3 linked regions of the Drosophila melanogaster genome follow. The protein of the gene in region 1 purifies or fractionates together with the protein of each later gene. This does not show direct contact. Each region holds a gene or a part of one and is shown on either strand. Other genes may lie near its edges.

Evidence for each region.
Region 2: the proteins of Boot (region 1) and Nxt1 purify together in Drosophila melanogaster (affinity purification with mass spectrometry, with the first as the bait; one study listed by BioGRID). This does not show direct contact.
Region 3: the proteins of Boot (region 1) and Nxf3 purify together in Drosophila melanogaster (affinity purification with western blotting; 2 studies listed by BioGRID, with this or other methods). This does not show direct contact.

Annotation. Positions count from the first base shown.
Region 1 is NT_033778.4:9,090,358-9,096,930, forward strand, and holds Boot (bootlegger), read right to left. Parts: upstream 4,302-6,573; 5' UTR 4,175-4,301; coding exon 4,135-4,174; intron 4,071-4,134; coding exon 3,103-4,070; intron 2,947-3,102; coding exon 2,851-2,946; 3' UTR 2,149-2,850; downstream 1-2,148. Other genes in the region: Nadk2 (NAD kinase 2, mitochondrial), read right to left, coding at 1-128, 186-392, 454-694, 1,050-1,296, 1,373-1,412.
Region 2 is NT_033778.4:23,808,482-23,813,584, forward strand, and holds Nxt1 (NTF2-related export protein 1), read right to left. Parts: upstream 3,494-5,103; 5' UTR 3,467-3,493; coding exon 3,458-3,466; intron 3,401-3,457; coding exon 3,314-3,400; intron 3,257-3,313; coding exon of another isoform or gene 3,244-3,256; coding exon 2,938-3,243; 3' UTR 2,846-2,937; downstream 1-2,845. Other genes in the region: Ssrp (structure specific recognition protein), read right to left, coding at 1-251, 329-382; CG5543 (uncharacterized protein), read left to right, coding at 878-2,845; pippin, read right to left, coding at 3,945-5,024.
Region 3 is NT_037436.4:13,962,402-13,971,618, reverse strand, and holds the start of Nxf3 (nuclear export factor 3), read right to left. Parts: upstream 6,417-9,217; 5' UTR 6,274-6,416; coding exon of another isoform or gene 6,227-6,273; intron 6,096-6,226; coding exon of another isoform or gene 5,989-6,095; 5' UTR 4,972-5,988; coding exon 3,124-4,971; 3' UTR 2,973-3,123; coding exon of another isoform or gene 2,917-2,972; intron 2,859-2,916; coding exon of another isoform or gene 519-2,858; intron 458-518; coding exon of another isoform or gene 302-457; intron 199-301; coding exon of another isoform or gene 1-198. Other genes in the region: ssp2 (short spindle 2), read right to left, coding at 1-198, 302-457, 519-2,858, 2,917-2,972, 5,989-6,095, 6,227-6,273; Meics (meiotic central spindle), read left to right, coding at 6,990-7,500, 7,606-8,846.

The sequences.
Region 1 (6,573 bases):
CAGGATGTTGAGCCCGTGCCCGTGCTGACGCACAGTCCGGAGCATTTGGTCTTGTTCACCACGTCCTGGTGGTCCAGCACCAGTTGCAAGTGGGACACTCGGGCCGATAGATGCTCGCCAATAAATACCTATGTAGACAGCTTGTAAGATCTAAGCAATCCAGCATAGAATCCTAATTGTCTTACCTCGTTCAAAGCCAAGTAAGGAAGAACACGTTTCATCTTGGCCTTGTACTTGTAGGCCATGTCCTGGTCCAGCATTTCGGGTGCGGTGCTGACCTGCTCCATCTTGACCTCCGTGTGGCGGAAAAGGTCAGTCGGCTCCGGAATATTGCCGTTGCTACCAAGCATCGTAGTCCGCACCCTCGAGCGATGCATCCACTTGAAATCTCCCTGCCAGGAATTTGAATATTTAATGAATGAATTGTGAGAAGTGGCTCGTTCCAGGACTTACGCTCTTGATGCGGGAAACGGCGTCGGCCGGATTATCCGAGTAGTGCTTGGGCAGCATGAGTCGGCCCTCCGAGTGAAGCGGATCCGAGTTGAAGCCCACGATCGGCGTCTTCTGCTGGCTGAGCGCGAAGAGCGGACTGGCGCGTCCGGCGGAGAGAAGGAAAGTGCCATCGCCGCCCACCGGCACGATGACGTCCGCCCAGCTCATGACGTCCTTGCTCAACGAGCTTCTAAATTCAAGTCTGCTCGTTTAGTAAAGTCAACACACAGGGTGAGGTGCCGCATGGGAGACACGAAGTGTGTGAAGATGGTGGAGATCAATTGTAGCGGGTAGTAGTCACAAATCGAAGATACATATAGGTATAGTATGTGACGAAGTGACGAGGCACGCAACACAACATTGGTGGCAGTGATTGGAGGCCTAAAGGTGTGGATGTCTGGGTACATGTCCTCATAGAACTAATCTCATTCAAAGCAATGAAATCATTTCCATGGCTTGAGTACATTTACTCATTTACTTGAGTACATGTACCTATGGCCTCCGTTGCTTTGAGCTGCACTCCGATCACTGAATTGGAGGACTACATGGGTACGCACCTGCTGGACAACTTCACCTCGCAGCCGACGTCCTGGAAGCTCTGCACGACCCGCCGCTCGAAGTCCTTGTGCACCTTGTGCAGATGGAGGACCATCTCCACGTCGGTGCCCCGGTCACGGAGCTTTTGCTGGAGCTGATCCGGAGACAGTTCCGGGTGGCGTAGCTGCTCGAACTCATAGCGGGACAGCTTGGTGACGACCAGGGCCCGCTTTAGCTTGAAGTTGGTCGGCGTATATTTAGCGTACTCTGTTCAAAATGGCAATTGCAAGCGAAAGACCTCGTTAGTCCGATCAAATGTGGGTCCTCGTCACGGGAAATTTACTCAAACCCTCGGGAATAATCTTCCTGCCGTTTTGAAGCATCCTACGGCCGAAATCGATGTGTAACTACTAGGTTTTAATGGAAATTTCCCGGAACAGCTGATAAACAACACAGTGCAAGTGGAAAGTATTTTCCCTCTAAAACTTTTAATGAAACAATGTTATGTATTTGGTTTGTACCAATCATGTTTTTCGTAGATTTTCCTAATGGTTTGACATACTGCAGTGAGCTTTAAATACCATTATTAAAGATAAGTAAAATCAAGCTATCCAGTATGTAAAATTTGTTTGTTTATAATCAATATAATTATAGCATAACAAAGTTTAGTGACACACACTTTGAGATCTGCGTTCAATACTTGTTGAAAAGTTGGTTAAGTTAAGTTAATCCGGAAACCAAAAAGGATATTTAAGATAATATCCACTTTCTGAGCGAATAATTTTGTCAGCCAGTGTGCGTGGGGAAAGTTCATCGTGACAAAGAATTTGGCGAAAAAGTGTTTACTGATAATCTTCGGCTTGGTCGGCGTCAGATGCGATTAAGGCTGTCAAGGCGAGCCTACGGATCTGGTGATATGGTATTAGTTTACTCCAGCACATGCCTAAGGCTGATAATGGAGGCGGCAACGAAAACACAGATAGCTAGGGTGTGTAAAACACCTCAAGTTGTGCCATTTCGGCTCCGGAAACCCACACATCCTTACCTTTGGAAAACTGTTGGAGCAACTGCTTCGACTTCAACATGCTTGGCACTACCGAAGACGAACAACGCACATTTAGGGTACTGTGTTCAGTTTATTTCGTATTCGTTAAGAAAATCGTTTGGGAAAAAGACTACGCTATAAAAGTAACCAAATGCAAAGAATCGATGGCTCTTTCTTCAGTTGGCCACTTTCGAATGCTTTTGCACAAACAACAAAATAACTGCGTGTTCGTTCTACACTCGACAAAGCACAAAACATAGGTTGAGGTTAGTGTTTAGCACACTATCCTAAGTTACGATCACTACTAACTATCCCGCTATCCGATCCCGATGATCATTTTCACGTCCGCTCTCTGGGTGCTTGGCAGATTAACTGATTATTACTCTGTTCGTCTCCGGCACATCAGTTATGTATGTATATAAAATCGCCTTCGCTGTAAATTTATCGCCGTTTGTTTCTATTTTCGTCCGCTTTCGCTTCTCACATCTCGTTCGTCCGTGTGTACTTCTTGTTGTGCATTACTGATAAGAGGCCCAGCCTGTTCTTATCAGCCGAAATATGTGTTATATATATAAAAAAAAGAGGCAGAAAGCGACTATTCACCCCTGCCATTCACTGGGCATCGTCGAAATCGTCTTCTTCTTGCCTGCGTCGACTCGCAATTCGCACAGAAAGTGCCCGCCAATCCGGCGAACTTAATTTAAACATGGGCTGCTGAGTACTTAGAAATAACAGAAGTCAGATAGATCCCTTAAATGCAACTTGATGTCGGTTTTCTAGTTAAAACGTTGCAGTTGGTCCCTTCCTCCTTCACGTTCAGGCAATGCGACACTTCGGGACTCCTCCATCGGTCCGTTTATCCAGTCGATGTTCTTAAATAAGAAAACCGTAAACTTATTTAAAAATACAAAGTTAATATGAATCATTTCTTGAAGCTTAATGCCTTTTTTCTTACACGTGCAGTTTGTAAGGCTTTCTTTCAAATCTCTATTGTGTGGTATTAGATTACACATGATTTCGAATATTACCTTGAAGATGTCACACGAGTCTCCTTGGTTGTTTTGCTGGGCAACGCTCTTGAGCAAGAGCATCACGTTGTGGGCCATTTTACTGATTTTCATGCTCTCGGAATCAACTGCTGCGGGTTTCAGGTCAGTCTGCGGCTTATTAATATCCTGCGCTTCTCCAGCAAACACATTCATCGAGTTGTCCGTGTAACGCGTGATGGTTTCACAAGGCAAATGGTTCTTGACACGATTATCCGGAATGTGGGACACCGAATCGATTAAAGAGCCGATCGAGGTGGAGCCGGTCCAGTCGTAGTGGTCAGGTCCCATGTAGTTGCGGCTGCTACGCGGATCAGTGGGTGCCTGGTGAGTATACTGGAAATGTTTATTTACATCAATGTCAAGGTCAGTTTGTTGATTTGAATGGATTTCTTGACTGCTGAAGGCATTGTAGGCGTAGCGCAGGACCTCCTTCTTGGCAATCTGGGGCTGGTGCTGATGACGATGGAATTCATTCCGTTCATGGTGATTATACTGACGATTGCGTCTCTTGTTAAAATTATTACGAAATCGAGAGCCTTCTCTCAGATCAAGGCGCGACTTAACGTGACCACGTGCCTGGTCACTGAGCCCCAGTTGAGCCGCCGCTGATGGCCGGTTGACGTTGTTACCATTCATGCGCCACGTGGCTGAGCCTTGTGAGGCCTCCGAGCTTTGAGACTCCGTCTCGCAGTACACCTTATCAAAGTCATTAATCTCAAAGTTGATTTGCGAAACATTGGAATCGAACTCGGTTAGAATTGATTGGCCATTTGCTAGCACGGAACCCTGGAAATCTTCAACTTCAACATCGGTATCGCCACCCTGATCCTGGTCCTTGTAGGTTTGCAAGTGCCCCAGCTGGCGATTATCGCCCTTGGGGGCTGCATTACTCGAGTATCGTGGTGGTATTCTGGGTTTTGGTACTACGCATTGCTCGAAGTACTCATCTGTCAGATAAAAAAAACGAATATTTTAAGGACGATCACAAATTGAGCAGACATTTTTACGTACCCAAAGACAGAATGACTCCGGATGCATTGAAATCCGTCATCGTGCACTCGCAATTAAGCCTAAAATATAGAAACAAAAAAAGCTTGGCGCCGCGTCAGTCTGGTCCGCAAGAAAAACAGTTAGAACCACCGCGTTTGTAGAGCTGCAAGTGCTGCAATCGAATATTACCACCCGGATAAATCGAAGTAAAACTTCTTTGCACTGGTCAGCTTTTGAGTTTTTACACCCGTTACTCGTAGTGTAAAATAGTATACAAAAGCATATTCTTGATCAGGATCAATAGCCAAGTCGAGCACCTTTGCCACACCCCTCCTTATAATTACAAAACGCTCAAAACACACTTATGAACAATTTTTAATTTTTTCTCATTTTATTTAGCAGTATCTATCATGATAAATTTTCGTGTTCGCATATCCACTAGCTGAGTAAGAGTATTTTCTAGTCGGGTAGTATTTGTCTAAGATCTATTCATTTTATTTAAAGTTTATTAAACATAAAATATTATTAGTGTTTTATTTGTGTGAATTCTTTTTCTTTGTTTATTTTCTTCTTTATTAAATTAAATCAAGTATTGACTTAAGTTTAATATGGGGCAATAACTTGTATGTATTTACTTAAATCGTTCAATGCGAACTTGTTTTGGTAAATCAGTTTTTCATAACAGTGCGCCACCTTGAAAACAGACCACAAACGCAGGCGTTAGGCGTTTCAGTATTCTTGAAAGTACAAGCAGCGTGCACACTGCACCACCAATCGCCGCCAACTTCACTGGCTTCTCTTCACTTTTTTAAAGAACGTGGAGCGAACATCACCGCATTGGAAACGATTAAAAAAATATATATAAAAATGTAAGTATTATAGATATGATAGGCGACCGGTGAGTGCAGCGATTATAACTGCAAATCGAGTTCTACTGGCTTGTTTGCAGAACTCAATGTTGCAAGATTAATTTGTGATGCGCAGGGAAATGCACTTCACCGATTGCAATTCAAATTGCAGTCACGTGGTCGAGATTCCATTGCAGTCTCAACAAATTAAAAATTAAAAAAGAACGTTAGCTAAACGATGCGTTTGCTTATATTGCAGGTGAATCTGTGATTACTAGGCGCTGCGTTAAAGCGCTGGCATTTGTGAATTGGTAAGTTTCATCATTGTATTTATTTATATTTTTGTTAAATAATATTAATATTTTCATGCGAGCATGAGTCGCTGGTGTAAAGAAACTACTACTTTAGCTAGTGCTTTTTACTTGCTCGCAGAAAAACGTGCTTTGCCCAAGCATAACCCAAATTTAAAAAACCCGAGTTTGCGGTGCATATTATTTTCGTGAAGCTGACAGTTTAAACCCTCTTAACTAGCTAAGTTTAGTATTTGCGAATATGGCTAACCCAGCATTCCATTTTCAGAAACAAAATGGCCTCTTATGCTCAACACGTGTTTTCTGGCAGAGTTGGAGAGAGACAGACGGTAAGAATTCGTTCCAAATCCCAAATTAGCCCTTCTCAGTTATCTGATGATTTATAATTCTATTTTCTGACATCTCTTATGAACCGTTGTGATTCAAATCAGTTATAACTAATTCTGACACATTCGACTCTCAACTAAATATAATTTTTACTTGTGGCCGTGACTTATGAGAACTCATCTATTACTTGCAGATCGGTCTTTCGATTTGGATTCGGAATATAAATGAGGTTATCAGCGTGAAATGGTAATTATTCTCTTCATTTATGAAAACTACTTAAAATTTCGTGATGAATGACCCTATCATCATCTTTCGACTGAAAATCATTTTGATGCTATACTAGTTTTCACTGAATTTTAAACGCTTTAAAAAAACCTGTTAAAAAGATTGTTACATTTGAATAACACAAATATATTTTAATTTCAGTTCATTGCAACGTCAATATCATGTATCAAACGTGGCTCACTAACACAGTGAAAAAGGTAATAATTCGGTTTAAGATAATAAAAAAATTTAGTTTAAATTTTATGTGTAAATTGGACAATTAATTGTGTTGTGATGAATGAAACTTACACCATCTTTCGACTGAAAAATGTTATGAAGCTATACGAGTTTTTACTGAAACCCCTTCATTTTATTATTTTTGTGTTTTATAAGTTTTTTAGAAAATCGGTTGCTGCTCTTTATAACCATTTAATTTTTGTCATTTTGCAGTGTTCAAGAAAACCACCTTTGATTGTCGCGTCATATGCCCAAACAAGGATCTCTCCTTTGAAAAGGTAAATTATACTCTAGAACGAAATAATATGTAAATGATGCTTTTAAAATTTCTGACATCTCTAATGAACCGTTGTGATTCAAATTTTTCTAATATAATTAACTGATCATTTTAAAATCGCTTAAACGATTGAGTTATATTTGAATAACTACTTATTTGTATTGTTTTTGATTTTTTTTTTTTTTTTACAGATGTG
Region 2 (5,103 bases), about 15 Mb from region 1:
ATCTCCTTCTCGACCATCTCCTGCGAGTAGGCAGCCTTGATAAACTTGCCCAGCTTCTCGTGCTCGCTGTCGCGGAATCCGGTGAAGCGGTGGAGCACGCCGCCTTTGGTGAACACCCTCAGTCCCCAGGTGCCCACGAACTTCTGCGAATTGATCAGGTCTATGTCCTCTGCCGAGATCTGCTCCACCTTGCCGGTCTTGGTGTTCTTGAAGATGATGTTCTGCTCGGTCATCTTTAGGCGTCCGGAACACTTTTTTGCGCGCAGGGAAATGGAAAACCTCGGTCATGCGAAATGTGACAAAATACGCCGGCTTTTTTGCGACTCACCAAGACTCCGCGCACTTCGGCGTTTATGTCGTTGTACTCCAGAGAGTCTGTCATCCTGCACTTCTTCCTCTCCAGTAACAAGATAATAGATCAACTATGTATTACGCCGCCTTGCGAAATTGTCACCAATTTACAATAATTCCGGCAGACACAAAACAACACTGCGCGCCTAATTTTAGGTTAGACGCCAGTCAGCTATATTAGAGTGACCGTATGTGTGTTTAGTATTTTTGAGTGCACTATTCTTAAATTGCAATCGATATAAACTCTTAATATTCCAATGCAGTTTCCTTTATTGTTTATATATATCTTGTTTGCAATACATGAACAATATATGAGTCATTATTAAATTGAAAAATTTTAATGGGCAAGCCAGAGCTTATTTAAAGACCATAACAATTCGCTCGATCTTTTAAAATACCAAATTGACAGTCCGAATATAAACGGTCACTTAATTCACTTGTTTACAAAATATTTACCGCATATTTTCAGAGAAATATAGTTTTAATTAAAAATTTGAAAATCCACTTAGCGTGGGGCCTTAAAACTATGCAACGCGGTAAAATTTCCTTCGGGAAAATCAAACTGAATGTAAACGTACCTCCTGCGGAGCCAAGATCCAACGAAACCGAGGCGGAAGATGCAAAGGAGTCCACTGAAGCCAGCGGAAATGGCGGAGGATTCAAGAAAATGGACAAGGAGCAGATGATTCGGCAGATCGAGGACGTGGCCGAAGATCTGGAGAGCCAGCACCTCAAGGAAGTGATGGGCATCAGTGGCTTTGGTCGCAAGGCGGCCAAGGTGTTCGACATCAACGAGCAGATAGAAAAGGCGAGAGTTACCCGCCCGGGAATGGACAAAAAAAGGGAGGAGTCCAAGCCGAAGGAGGATGACCAGAAAGACGAGGAAGAGGAGGACGTAATAGGTCCCCTACCACCAGCTGTGACCACAGACAAGGAGAAAGCCACGAAGGAATCGTCCAAAGACGAAGACTCCGATGACGATGATTATTCGTCCGATGAAGATTCAGATGACGAACAAAGCCTTGCTAAGCGCATACCCTACACACACGAGGTGCAGATGCAGCACGGTTCCCGCGCTGTCCTTGCCCTGGCTGGCGATCCCTCGGGTGCCCGCTTGGTCTCTGGTTCCATAGACTACGATATGTGCTTCTGGGATTTCGCCGGCATGGACTCGAGCATGCGTAGCTTCCGGCAACTGCAGCCGTGCGAGAACCATCCCATACGTTCTCTCCAGTACTCCGTGACCGGCGACATGATCCTGGTCATCTCCGGAAACGCCCAGGCCAAGGTCCTCGACCGCGATGGATTCGAGAAACTGGAGTGCTGCAAGGGCGACCAGTATATCTCGGACATGTCGCGCACCAAGGGCCACGTGGCACAGTTGACCTCCGGCTGCTGGCATCCATTTAACAGGGAGCAGTTCCTGACCGCAGCTCTCGACGGTACTCTGCGCATCTGGCAGGGATTGAAGTCCAAGGAACAGTTGCAGGTGATCAAGACAAGGGCGCAGGGAGGCCTCCGCACCAACGCAGCATCATGCAACTTTAACAGGGACGCCACACTCATAGCAGCGGGCTGCGTGGATGGTTCCATTCAGACGTGGGACACGCGCAAGATGTTTGTGAACACCACGCACTGCGTCAGGGATGCGCATCAGAAGGGTTCGGAGATCACCTCCATTGTGTTCTCGTACATGGGTCAGCAGTTGGCCACTCGCAGCAACGACGAGACCATGAAGCTTTGGGATCTGCGGCAGTTCAAACAGCCGCTGCATACCTGGACAAACCTGTTCTCCCGCTACGACACAACAGATTGCTGCTTTAGTCCAGATGACCGTCTGCTAGTCACCGGAGAATCGCTTCCGAAGGGCCAGGCCGAAGCGAACCTGTATTTCTACAGCACTAAGAGCTACGAGGAAGTGCAGCGGATTCCCGTGTCCAACGCGCACGTGGTGAAAACGCTGTGGCACCCAAAGCTCAACCAACTGTTCGTGAGCTGTGGCAATGGAACCATTAAGTGCTATTACGATGAGCACCGCAGCATCCGGGGCGCCAAGCTGTGCGTAGTGAAGACGCATCGCAAGAGGCAGCCCATGGAGATGGTGGGAGTCTCCCAGATCATTACGCCGCACGCCCTGCCATTGTTCAGGCAGGAAAAGTCCCGTACCTCGCGTAAGCGGATGGAGAAGGCCCGTATGGATCCTGTCAAGTCCCAGCGACCGGACTTGCCCATCACCAGCGGTCAGGGCGGCCGCGTGGCCAGCTCCGGCGGCACCCTCTCCTCCTATGTCATCCGCAATCTGGGCCTGAGCAAGCGGGTGGACGACGACCAGGATCCCAGGGAAGCCATCTTGAAGTATGCCAAGGACGCAGCCGAGAATCCTTACTGGATAGCACCGGCCTACAAGCAGACGCAGCCAAAGGCCATCTTCTCCGAAAAACTACCCGCCGACGAGCCGGCCACCAAGAAGCCCAAGACAGAGGCGGACAAATAGGAAGTCAATCTATTTATAAGAGCTTAGATATGTTAATAAACTCGTTACGACGTAAGAACTTTAGCTTAGCTTAAAATACAAGTGTGTGGATCTCAGACCTCCTGCATTCGGTAGCAATCGGAGACGACCTTCCATTTATCATTCTCGGCGGTAACGATGAAAGTCTGCTGAAATTTGCGTAACTGCTGATCTGCGAACTTGACGGAGCCGCTGGCCATGATGAGGTAGGCCAGCTGGTTGGACACAGCCTGATCCACAATAGGCTGCGCGTCCAGGGTGTTCAACTGGTGGTTTGAGGATGGCAGCTCCTGAAAGTAGCTCTCGATCATCTGGCGGCCGATGGCCCCGTTTCCATTCCAGCTAAGCGTAGCATTGTCCAAATAGAGGCGTCCAATTTGCTGCAGGTGGAATCTATTTGAGTTTCGTTTTCCCATGAAATGCAGACTTTCAAGGCGGATCTCTACTTACTTGGCGTCGGTTGTCCACGGAGGCGTAGTACAGGCGTGTGAAGGTATCCGCCGTACGGGCGCAGCTCTCGACCTTGGCTTTCAAATCCTTTAAACAAATAGTTGCTATGCTAAATTGCTAAAAAACTAAATATTTTCAACTCACGCTGTCCATGTTTCCCGCGATTCTCGAATTAGAGTGACCGTCCTCGGGTGGTCAGAAAAAAACTCTCCAGAAAGAAAGAAACAAAAATATTACTACCACCATTTGAAATACAAAAACGCTACTAATCTACGTGAGTACCCTTAATATTTATTTAAAGTTTAAAAAAGTCAAGATGTTCAAACACTTAAAAACAAGTTTATTGCAAACATTTTCTGCAAATTGCCCGAAAAACAAATGATGACTTTTATTTTTCAAGTTGTTTATTTCTAATCATAATTTTAATTAACAATTAGACACAATTTAAAGCATAGCGATCACAATTTGAATTGGTAACCTAACATTTGAAGATTCCCTGTCGGAGTGGCCCATTGGGGGTCACTGGAAAATCGAGCGAGTCTAGGGCGACTACGAGGCACTGCGGCTAGAACTATGAGTATGGCTAAAACTAGCTAAGCTAAGACCTGTTTTAAGACTAAAGCCCCCCGACCTAGGCCTCCAGCCCCCGGGTGTCCTTCAATGGCTCCAGGGGCTGCAGGTTGACCGTCTTGTAGCCTCGATCCCGCCGGAACCAGAGCCAGTTGTCCCCGTTGAAATAGTCCTCGATGTGCTCCAGGCTGCGGCCCTTCGTCTCCGGCTGGAAAAGGCACATAAAGGCAGTGAGCAGGAAACTGGACACGCCGAAGACCAGGAACACGCCGCGCATCTTGAGCATGGCCTGCAAAGCGGGAAACTTCTTCGCGAAGATGAACAGAGCGACGTTCATGGAGGCAAACACTCCGCCGGCAGTCCGTCCGCGTATCCTAGCCGGGAAGAGCTCGCCGATCATAATGCCGGGCATCACCATCAGAGCCGTGTTGAAGATGATGTAGCCCAAGAGACAGCCGGCACCAACGAATACGTCGTACGACATTTTCGGTTGATCGAATCTGGCATACTGATAGACACTGAGCACCAGGCAGAACAAGCCGGAGCCGATTCCCGACACTATCATGATCCTGCGGCGGCGAACGAAGATCAGGACTACGCAGAAGACCATGCAGCAGATCACCCGGACAACTGCCGTCGCAATGGCCGCCTGCTTGGAGTCGAACTCCGCTCCGAACTCCGAGATCATGTCCACGGCATAGAAGATCACGATGAACGTGCCGGAGAACATCTGCAGCAGCGAGAACACGATCACAATGACCAGCGGCTTGATGGCCACGCGCTGGCAGCACAGCTGGAAGATGTTCTCGTTCGTCTTGGTGGTCACCCGCTCCTTGGCCAGCCTCTGCTTCATATCATTCAGCTCCTTCTGCGCACTGATCTCGCTGCCCCGCAGGAACGAGAGGGCCTGCAGCGCACGCTTCTCGTGGCCATTGCGGAGTAGCCAGGCCGGAGTCTCCGGTATAAACGAGATAGACACCATGGACAGCAGGGGCAGCACGTTGGCGCACCACGCAACACTACGCCAGTACATCATGGAGCCCAGGGAGTAGACCATTAGGATGCCGCTTGAGTAGGCCACATAGGGCGCGCCGATCAGCAGACTCCGCAGATTGGGTTCCGCCGTTTCCGCAATGTACACCTTCGAGAAGGTAAAATAAAATAATGAATGAAGGCCAAAATAGTAAGTTTATATAGTAAGTCTACATTAATCCTAATCC
Region 3 (9,217 bases), on another chromosome or scaffold:
TATTTGCGATGGTGGTCTCAACCCCGAGGGCTTTGGTATGCCGGTCGCTCCCGTAGTCACCTGGGTCAGCTTAGAGGTAAGCGCCTGCATGTCGAAGGTTTGCTGTGGATTCTGTTGAGGAACATTTCCGCCGTTAACGGTTCTACCGGAGTCCTTGTGGCCATAGAGGCTGCCACGCGAAGAGGCTGAGGAGAGGCTCTGAAATATTTTGCGCCAAGATTGGCAGTTTCCAATTTTAGTTTTAACTAAGCACAAAAGCTAGATCTTGAGCGTTCCCTTAACAAATCTTGCATTAACTAACCTCAGGAGTGTCTGCCTCTGGTGCCGTCTTAACACTCAGACTGTAATATCCGGACGAAGGTCGAGCTAAACCATTAGCTCCTGCTCGTTTCGGGGCAAGGCCAGGAGCACGCAGCCCACTCACCAATTTCGGTACTTTAAATACAGCGGAGTCATCCTGAAAAGTCAAAAATATGAGAATTAAACAGGTCGATAAGAAAAATAGTTTCGAAACGAACCTCTTGGGCTTGAGTTGGTCCACGCAATCCGCTCATAAGCTTGCTCGGCTGCGCACTGGGACGCCGCAGTCCACCGCCCAAACTAGGTCTTGGCAGGGCTCCAGAGCCAACGCCGCTCATTGTGGAGGACAAGTTGTGGAAAGATTTGGATTTAATACCCATAGGGCTCTTCAGCTCCCCGTTACCGTTGGCCGGCACTGTAACAGTAGTCGGCATAGCAGCGGCTGGAGTGGCGTTTAGTCCCGCTCCGGCTGAAGTTGCCTTGCTCACCGTAGTAAACTTCTGAAGACCACTGATGTAGCGAGGCCTGGACAAGGAACGCGGCTGGGGAAGAGTCGACGCAGGCGCTGGCTCGGCTAATAAAGGCGCTTCCTGCTGCTGCGGACGTCGTTGGATAAGGCTCTTTTCCTTGGGTTTTTTGTAGGTCAGATAGTTACTCGCACTAGCATCTGCGTTGTTGCTAATTGCTGTGGTCTGATCTCGACGAGAAAGTCGACCCGGTGGTGAACCCTGTCGCTGATCCTCCTCGTACCGAACATCTTCTACTAATTGCTTTTGCTCGTCCTCGAGTTGCTGTGGTTCATCGTCTATACAAGGCACAATAATTTCCGGCTGCAGTCGCATTTCTTTCGAAATCTTAATGGTCTTGAAGCGATCGCGATCCCGCTCTCTTCGCTCCGGCAGCTTATAGCTTGCCGGATCAATCTCTGCTGTCACCTGGGACTTTGGAGGCTCTTCCGCTGGTTCGGGATCAGGATCTGGTGCAGGCTGCTCCACTTGTGGCATATCTCTACGCTGGACGATGAATGAGGCAGAGTTGGTGCTGGTCGAACTTCCATTACTGCCGTGCATTGCACTAAGGTTGACATCGTCGTAGAGACGACTTCGGCGACTGAGCAGCCGTTCGCCACCACCGCCGCTGCTGTTGCTGCTGGAGTGGCTCTGATTTAGAACTGGGGTGTCCACCTTTTCGGCTGCCGACTGCTGCAATTCCTCTTCACGCTCCTCTGCCTCCGCCTCATCTCTATGGAAGCGCCGTTTGATGGTATCTAGCGACTTTTGCATCTTCAGTTGCTCCTCGTTTAGGGTATTCACCTTGCCCAGCTCGGCAAGCATATTCTCGAATTGCTCTTCGTCGCCCTGCTGGGCCAGCATCTCCACTTCCGCCTCAGCCAAGTCCATGACGCATTGCATCTGCCTGTGCTGTTCAGACATTTGCAGGTTGTAAGTGCCATCCAGCGGCTGTTCGATCTGCTCCAAGAGCTCCATAGTGTCCAGCACGAACTTCTCGCCGTTGAACGGAGCTGTTTTTGCCACGGGCTCAAAGGTGTTGTTTAATCGCCCTGGTGCGGTTCCAGTTGGTTTTTGCGGTGTTGCGCCAACAATTGGGGACAGGTTCATATCTCCCCTTCCCTTTAGGGTAGGGGTATATCCTGCCTTGTTATTATTGTTGTTATTGTGGTAGCAGTGTGAGCGCATGTTTGTTGTAAGTGGTGTGGAGGATTCCATGGTGAGCAAGGCCAGCTTCCTGTCAATATTTTCAGGCGTTTCACAGCGGCCCTCAGGAGTGTTGCAACCGTCGGTGAAGGTAGTATTCATCTGCCTACCTGTTAGCACCTGGGTTTCGTCCGCTGTAGTAGCACTCGCAGTGGGTCTTTTGAATGTCGCATTTCCATCGACTGGCAGAGACTCAGACTCTGATTGCAGCGCAGAAGTTGTAAGGCTATCCACGAGGTTAAAAGTTGTGTCGCCGATCATCTCCTCCCCTAAAATCATGGTACGCTGTAGGGCAGGACAAACTGCCGATACCACAACGGGCATCGTTCGATCTGCGGCCAGGGGAATGGACATACTGTCTGTGCTGTTGTCCATTGTGCTGCAGCCGGAAGCAGTTTTGCTCAGTGTCAACGATATTTCGTCAATTTGCCCGATGTGCGAGTCTTTGATAAGAGTCCCATCGTCCTCACACATGGTCAGCGACTCCAGCGCCTTGCGATCCCGGATCATGTCACTGAGCGTATATCCGCCTATGCTGCCGCCGATTCCCATGTTATCAGTTGTCTGGTTGGTAAGCGTAGTGGTAAGGTTTGGATCCTGCTCAAGACCAATTGTGGATTGAAGGAAGTTCAAGTTCGTAAAGTCTGCTGAGGTGATTAGCGAGTTGTTCATCCGTTCAGTGTTCATGGAGGAGCAGATGGAAGACGGCGGTGAGGTGTCTTGCAGGAAGGATTTGTGCATATTCGTCGTGACAAGACCGCCAATTTCCAGCTGAAGCATTGCTGGGGCACCCGCGACCGACCCGGTTCCAACACCGCTGTCATTTCCCGCTCCATTTTGGCTCTGAAAAAATAAGATACTTTAATATACAAATTAGTTGCAATTGCTTATTTGTACTTACGAAATCCAGATTCCGACGCTTTGGGCGAGTAAAGGTTTTCGAATTGTTTTTGAAGGCTTTCGTAAAATATAAAAGTTTAAAAATAAATTAGATCCTTGAGTTCTGCACTCGTTAAAGTAATGAATAGTAATGTATGGTGTCTTAACCGATAGGTGCAAGGTTTCTAAAAGCTATTTGTTTGAATTGTTTAATTTTTTTTGTTCATATTTAAAGGTCATCGCATCCAAACAGGATGTCATCATCAATGTCCAAGTCAAAGTTATTCTCATCGGCCACTAAAATATCCTCCATTTCATAGTCCAAACAATTTTGCCCGGTAGTCAATGGACCAATGGCTACTAATGGTGGCATATCGTTGAAGTTCTCACTGGGAAGATGGTCCACCTGGGAAAGGCTCATTTTCTGCACTGCCTTATTAAGAGGATTCAGCTCTTTTCCTGATAGGGGTCTAGAAATTTGGACATCCTCTTTAGACTTTCTGTCTAAAACTGTCACTGCAGGTTTATTTATTTTTTCTACCGACGGGTCGGTATTTATCATATTAGTTTCTGGTTTAAATTTAATGGTTTTTTTCGGGTCCGGCATAGTCGAAGTTATGCACAGCATGTCGTTGGTTATCAACCAGCCGGGGCTATTGGAAGTCTGCAATACGAATGTGCGCTGAAAGCGTCGTGGTTCCAGAGTATCCGATGATATCTCCTTAAAGTATCCCGTCAACGTAAAGATGCGTAGACTCGAAGTGAACACCTGGATGTCTAGCCCGACATTCTCTAAGTCTGTATGCATCAAAGGCAAGCGGCTTAAAGCGAGAAGTAGCGCAGCTCTACCCACTTGCAGCTTGGCGTTTTGTGCAAACGAGGAATGCTGGCGCTTCTGGTTTCTGTTGTACAGCTTGTAGCCGTAGACATAATTTAGTTGTACCGGCACGCTAAGCGAGAACATGGCTTGGTCGTCGTAATACTTCTTAAGTTTGAAACGCTCTTCGGTATCGTCAAAGAAAGTGTAGTATGAACTTATGAAGTCCTGGCAAAACTTTAAACCATTAGTCCCACCGCCTTGAAGTTGTTGAGACTTCGGAATATTATCAACAGCTTCTGTACTTTCCCCCAACTGCACACAGCCATGAACATTTTTCAACTGTGGTAGCATTTTTCGAATGACGTCCACGCTTAGCTTGGCCAAACCGTTTCCTGCCAAGAAGATCGTCTTGCAACTCAGTTTGTTGATGTAATTGAGTTCTCCCAAATCTTGAATCCTGTTTGCGCTTATGTCCAACCGCTCTAGGCTGGCAAAACTTTGGGAATTTCCCGCAAACGCTTTCAGGGAACACAAATAATTGTTGCTCAGTACTAGGCTGGTCACATGGGGAAATAAATGGTTTGAAAGAACTAGCACTGTTTCTAGCAGCTTGACCATATGCAGCGGACAAAAGTGCAGAGACAACTCCGGACTGGCGTGGAACCTGGAGAGATCTAAGGTGCGTGAATCCACCTCATAGCGTGATCTAAGGGCCTCCTGAATGGCAGTTGTAAATTCGTCTGTTATCTGGGCACACATCATCGATTTGGGCAGACCGGGTGTGACACGCACCTCGATTTTCTGGCACGTGTTAATAACTGCTACTTCCTCTTGCAAGCGTTTTAGGCGATTTGCGCTTAACAGGTTGTCCAACAGAAATTGTCCACGTGCCATATTATCTTCCGGTCCACTTCGCTTGAAGTTGAATATCTCCACCTTAATGGGCATCATCACCCACTTCAGTGCCACAAAAATTGAAGAATTGGAAACGCCGGCGCAGTTGGCGATGTTCACCGTGGACCATCCGGTCACAGTGGCCACGCGGTGGTCCTCTTCGGTGGAAGAGATCGTGTCCAGCACGGATCCCATTTGTTGCTCATTTCCAATCAGCTCTTGTACATATTCTCGAATTTTACTTTTTTCATTTAGATTTTTTCGCAAATCGTCAAGTGGCGACTGCGAATTCACGTGCTTTTTGAAGTTTTGGATCAAGCGGCTGTCCGGCTCGTGGGATTTGAAAGTGGCAAATATTTGCATCGCAAAGTTTTCAGGAAACTAGTAAAATTACAAAATCTTTTGAGGAAATAAACCCAGTAATTAAATTCCGTGCACACTACTAGCAATCTCCGGGAGTTTACAATTTTTTTAGTGTTAGTAAAGATCCAAAGGACGCTTCGCAAAAGCGATGTGTTCAGCACACTATTTGATATTTTACCGTTAAGTTAGCATTTAGCTATTTTTTAACTTACTGGATAAACGCCCTGAAGCTTTCATATATAATTATAAGTAATTGTTGTTTGTTAACGTAATTTTCTTACTTCCACTTCTACTATTGTTATCGCTTAAAAGAATATTTTGTATATATTATTTAAGCTATTTAAAATATTTATCTATGCTGAGTTTAACCATTGCATACATTTACAGGAATGACTATTAAGTATGAACTTTGTTGTAAATAGTTTTATTTAACTTATATTTTTAGCAATATTTGGAATTCTGGCATTCCACTTTGGAAAATCATTAAAAATAGCTCAGCATGACAATATTTCACTCAAATTAAATCGCCTAATCGATTTTTGATCCTCGTCTTTAGTTCGGTGGTAATTGTTTATTTAATTGTACGCAAATAGTTTATTTGCGTATTGCTTGATTGACTTTCGCTGGCTGGGCAGGAAGTAAATTGGATTTATATAATAATGTTTGCGTATAATGCGAGATTCTTGCCATATTAGCATAGCCAGTTTTTTTCCTTCAATATTATTGCCGTACCACGCACAGCTGTTTGCAATGGGAACGCGTGTGTGTGTGTGCGTATTGAGACTTGATTAATTACCGTAACAATAACATTGGCGCTGTTGCCAATTATGGCAATCGGCCACTTTGAAAGACAACGGTAACTACTGGCCAAGTAATGCTGCCCACATGCGACTTGAACTTTGTCAACGTAGCCGCCAGTTTAACCCAAATTTGATTTAGAAAGCGCAACTGCATGATGTGCTGCACATGTGTGTATGTTTGTGATCGGGTGCATCGGTATGTGTGGAAAAGGCTTACCCTCGTTGTTGTACTGCAAGTGCAATTGCTGCAACGGCGGCTGATTGTTCGTCTTCCACTGCTGCAATATGTTGGAGACATCGTCGTGGGTCTTATCCGCCAGAAATCTGCCAAGGAGTACCAGGCATATGAGTATTTATAGCATCGATGCCTCTGCCTGTGAAGTGCCAGCAGCAGTAGCAGCAGCTGCAGCAGCAACAACAACAGGAACAAAAACAACAGGAGTGGTTTCACTCACATATATGAATCATCCTTTAGTGCCTCATCGATGTCCAGGATATCCATGTCCAGCGATGGGTAAAACTTTATGCCTAGCTTAATAACACTTGATGAAGACCTAAATCATTGCCAGAAACGACAACAAAAAGGCCTTCGCTCGCTTGTCTGTTTGGCCAATACAAGATACTAATTTTGCTCAAAGCTGATAGAGATGAGCGATATCCGCGATTCCGTGGCGAGTCACTGGTATTTTTAAGCCGATGAGTCAATCTTGTGACTGTGAAAGCGAAAGTGAAAGTAATTATTGCAGCTGTTGGCAAAGTTAGCAAATTTCAACTTAAATATGAAGATAAATATTAAAATGATAACCTTTAATACCTAAATCATTGCATGCACGCTTGTTAAAGATTATATGTTAATTAAACGTTTTTATAATACAGACTGATTTGTAACTTTACTTGATTTGTAAATTATTTATTAAAATTAAAATTATCTCTAATATTCTTATTTTCATTGTTAATGCCTTTAATATAGATTTACATACATTTTGATTTAAATATGATTGGAATCCTACCTATCGACACCATTGTTTTGAATGCCGCAGATTTGTTCCCAGTCACAGTTAACCTCACGACGTTAATGGAGATGGCATATGAAACCTTATCGACTATCGAGTAATCATCGGATGCAGCTGACAACTCTGTGCGAATACGTTCACATTGACTACTTGGCAGGAGAGCAAGTGCCCAACATTTGTTGATTCTTTTGAAATTCCGGCCTCTATGGTTGGGAGATCATCGGGAAAAATGGAAAGATCAGTGGACGCCAGCATGGGAAAGAACTGCCGAGCCTGCGCCGAACACTCATCCATACTGGTGGACCTTTTCTCCAAGGAGATCTCTGATCCCCCCATTTGGGAAATGTTGAACTCAATTCTGCCGGAGATCTGTCGCGTGAAACGGGATGAAATGCCACAAAAGATCTGTCCTACCTGCCTGGTGGCCGCTCAAAATGCCTTTCACTTCCGTCACAAGTGTGAGCAGAGTTTTCAGTTCTTTTCCCAGCTCCTCCAGCTCGATAAATCAAACTCAAATCTGAGTAGATCCCATTGCAGAAGAGGTACTATGAACCCATTAATACCCTTCGAGATAGTTGGTTGCGAGGATCCATTGGACACAAATGTAACCAAATTGGACGCTAATCGGCCTGATGTAAAAACTGATATCGATGAGCCAACCGATGGAAAGGCAACTAATGGTCAGGAGAGTGAACCATTGCAAGAAGTTTTTGAAAGTAGGTCTATTCGATGTCATCCACTTTCACAAGAACTTCCATTGTACTGCTAAAATCTATTCTAGACTTGCCCGTTATATGCTAAAATTTAAATTTATTTTTTAGTAACAATGAACGATATTAAAACGGAAGATGAAGTATCCATTCAGGAGACATTTGAAGATGCCTTTGATGAAGAAAATGATAATAACAATACTGATAGCGAAAGGGAGGATTCAGACCAATGGACAGTGGGCTCGACTGAAGACCAAGATGAACCCTGGATTCCCGGCGGCGGAGGGCGCCAAACGGTTGGCGGCAATAATCAATCGCTTCTGTGCACAGAGTGTGGAGTGAGTTACTCGACTCAAAAGGCGTTGGCAAGGCACGTTGCCAAGCACAAGGAGCAAGGTGATACACAAAAGCCGCACCTCTGCGATTTCTGCGGTCGGGGATTTCGTACCAATGCCCAGCTAACGACCCATAGACGCCGTCATACTGGAGAGCGTCCTTTTAAATGCCCCCTCTGCCCGAAAGCTTATACGCACGGTCCGACTCTGAAGTCGCATATGCACACCCACGACGAGGAAAAGGGTCACAAATGTCCACAGTGCGACAAAACCTTTTACACGAGAGGCAATCTTAGGGCCCATATACAGAGGCACACTGGCGAACGACCCTATAAGTGTCCCGACTGCCCACAAACCTTTGCCAAAAACTCTGGCCTTAAGTTGCATAGCCGTCTGCACAAGGAAGAGCGACCCTTTAAATGTGAGCTCTGCGGCAAGGGATTCGTACAGAACCAGCATTTGATTACCCATTTGCGGGTCCACAACGGGGATCGCCAGTTCAAGTGCCCCGACTGCGACAAGTCGTTCTTCGAGAAATCGAACATGATGAAACATCAGCGAACCCATTCGGGTATAAAGCCATTTAAATGTGAGGAGTGCGGCCAAGCCTTTTCCCACAACCATCACCTTAAGAGTCATCTACGCATCCATACAGGCGAAAAGCCCTACAAGTGCGACCAGTGCGGCAAGGGTTTCAGTGCGAATCAGTCACTGATGAAGCATACCCTTTGGCACGTGGACAATAATGATCGGCCATTTAAATGTTCTCAGTGTCCCAAAGCCTATGACACTCAGCAGAGCTTACGGGGTCACGAGAAGACGCACAAAAACCCGGATGAGCCAAAAACGCTGCACCAATGCCCGCACTGCGACGTCAGGTTTGCTTTAAAAAAGACCCTGGATAAGCATATCACAAGCCACAAGATTCGACCCCACCCATGCCCGCAATGTCCAGAGGGATTTTTCTCCCAGAAGAGCTTAAAAAAGCACTTGCGACTTCACAACCTAAAGAAATAATATAAGATTATCCTGTAGCCCCAGCATAAGACCATTAGTTATAATAAGTGTTAAGTAGATATAACTACAGACTTCGTGTAAGGAAATCATTAAATTTGAACAATCTGATGTTACCAAAAATCATTGTTGTGGTATAATCGTAAGTTTATTGGTAAGTTATGTTATTTAAACAATCTAAAATTTCATTGTCCGTTCATTAAGGCAAGTTTTGTCTGTTGCACAGTTTCCAACTAATCCTGCGCCCTTCCGATTGCCAGCTGATGAATATTTCTATTTGCTATAACATAAATGCCTTGCTTACACATAATATTTGCTTACGTACAGATTTTGATTTTGATTTTGATTTTATTTTTGATTTTGATGAATCGCAA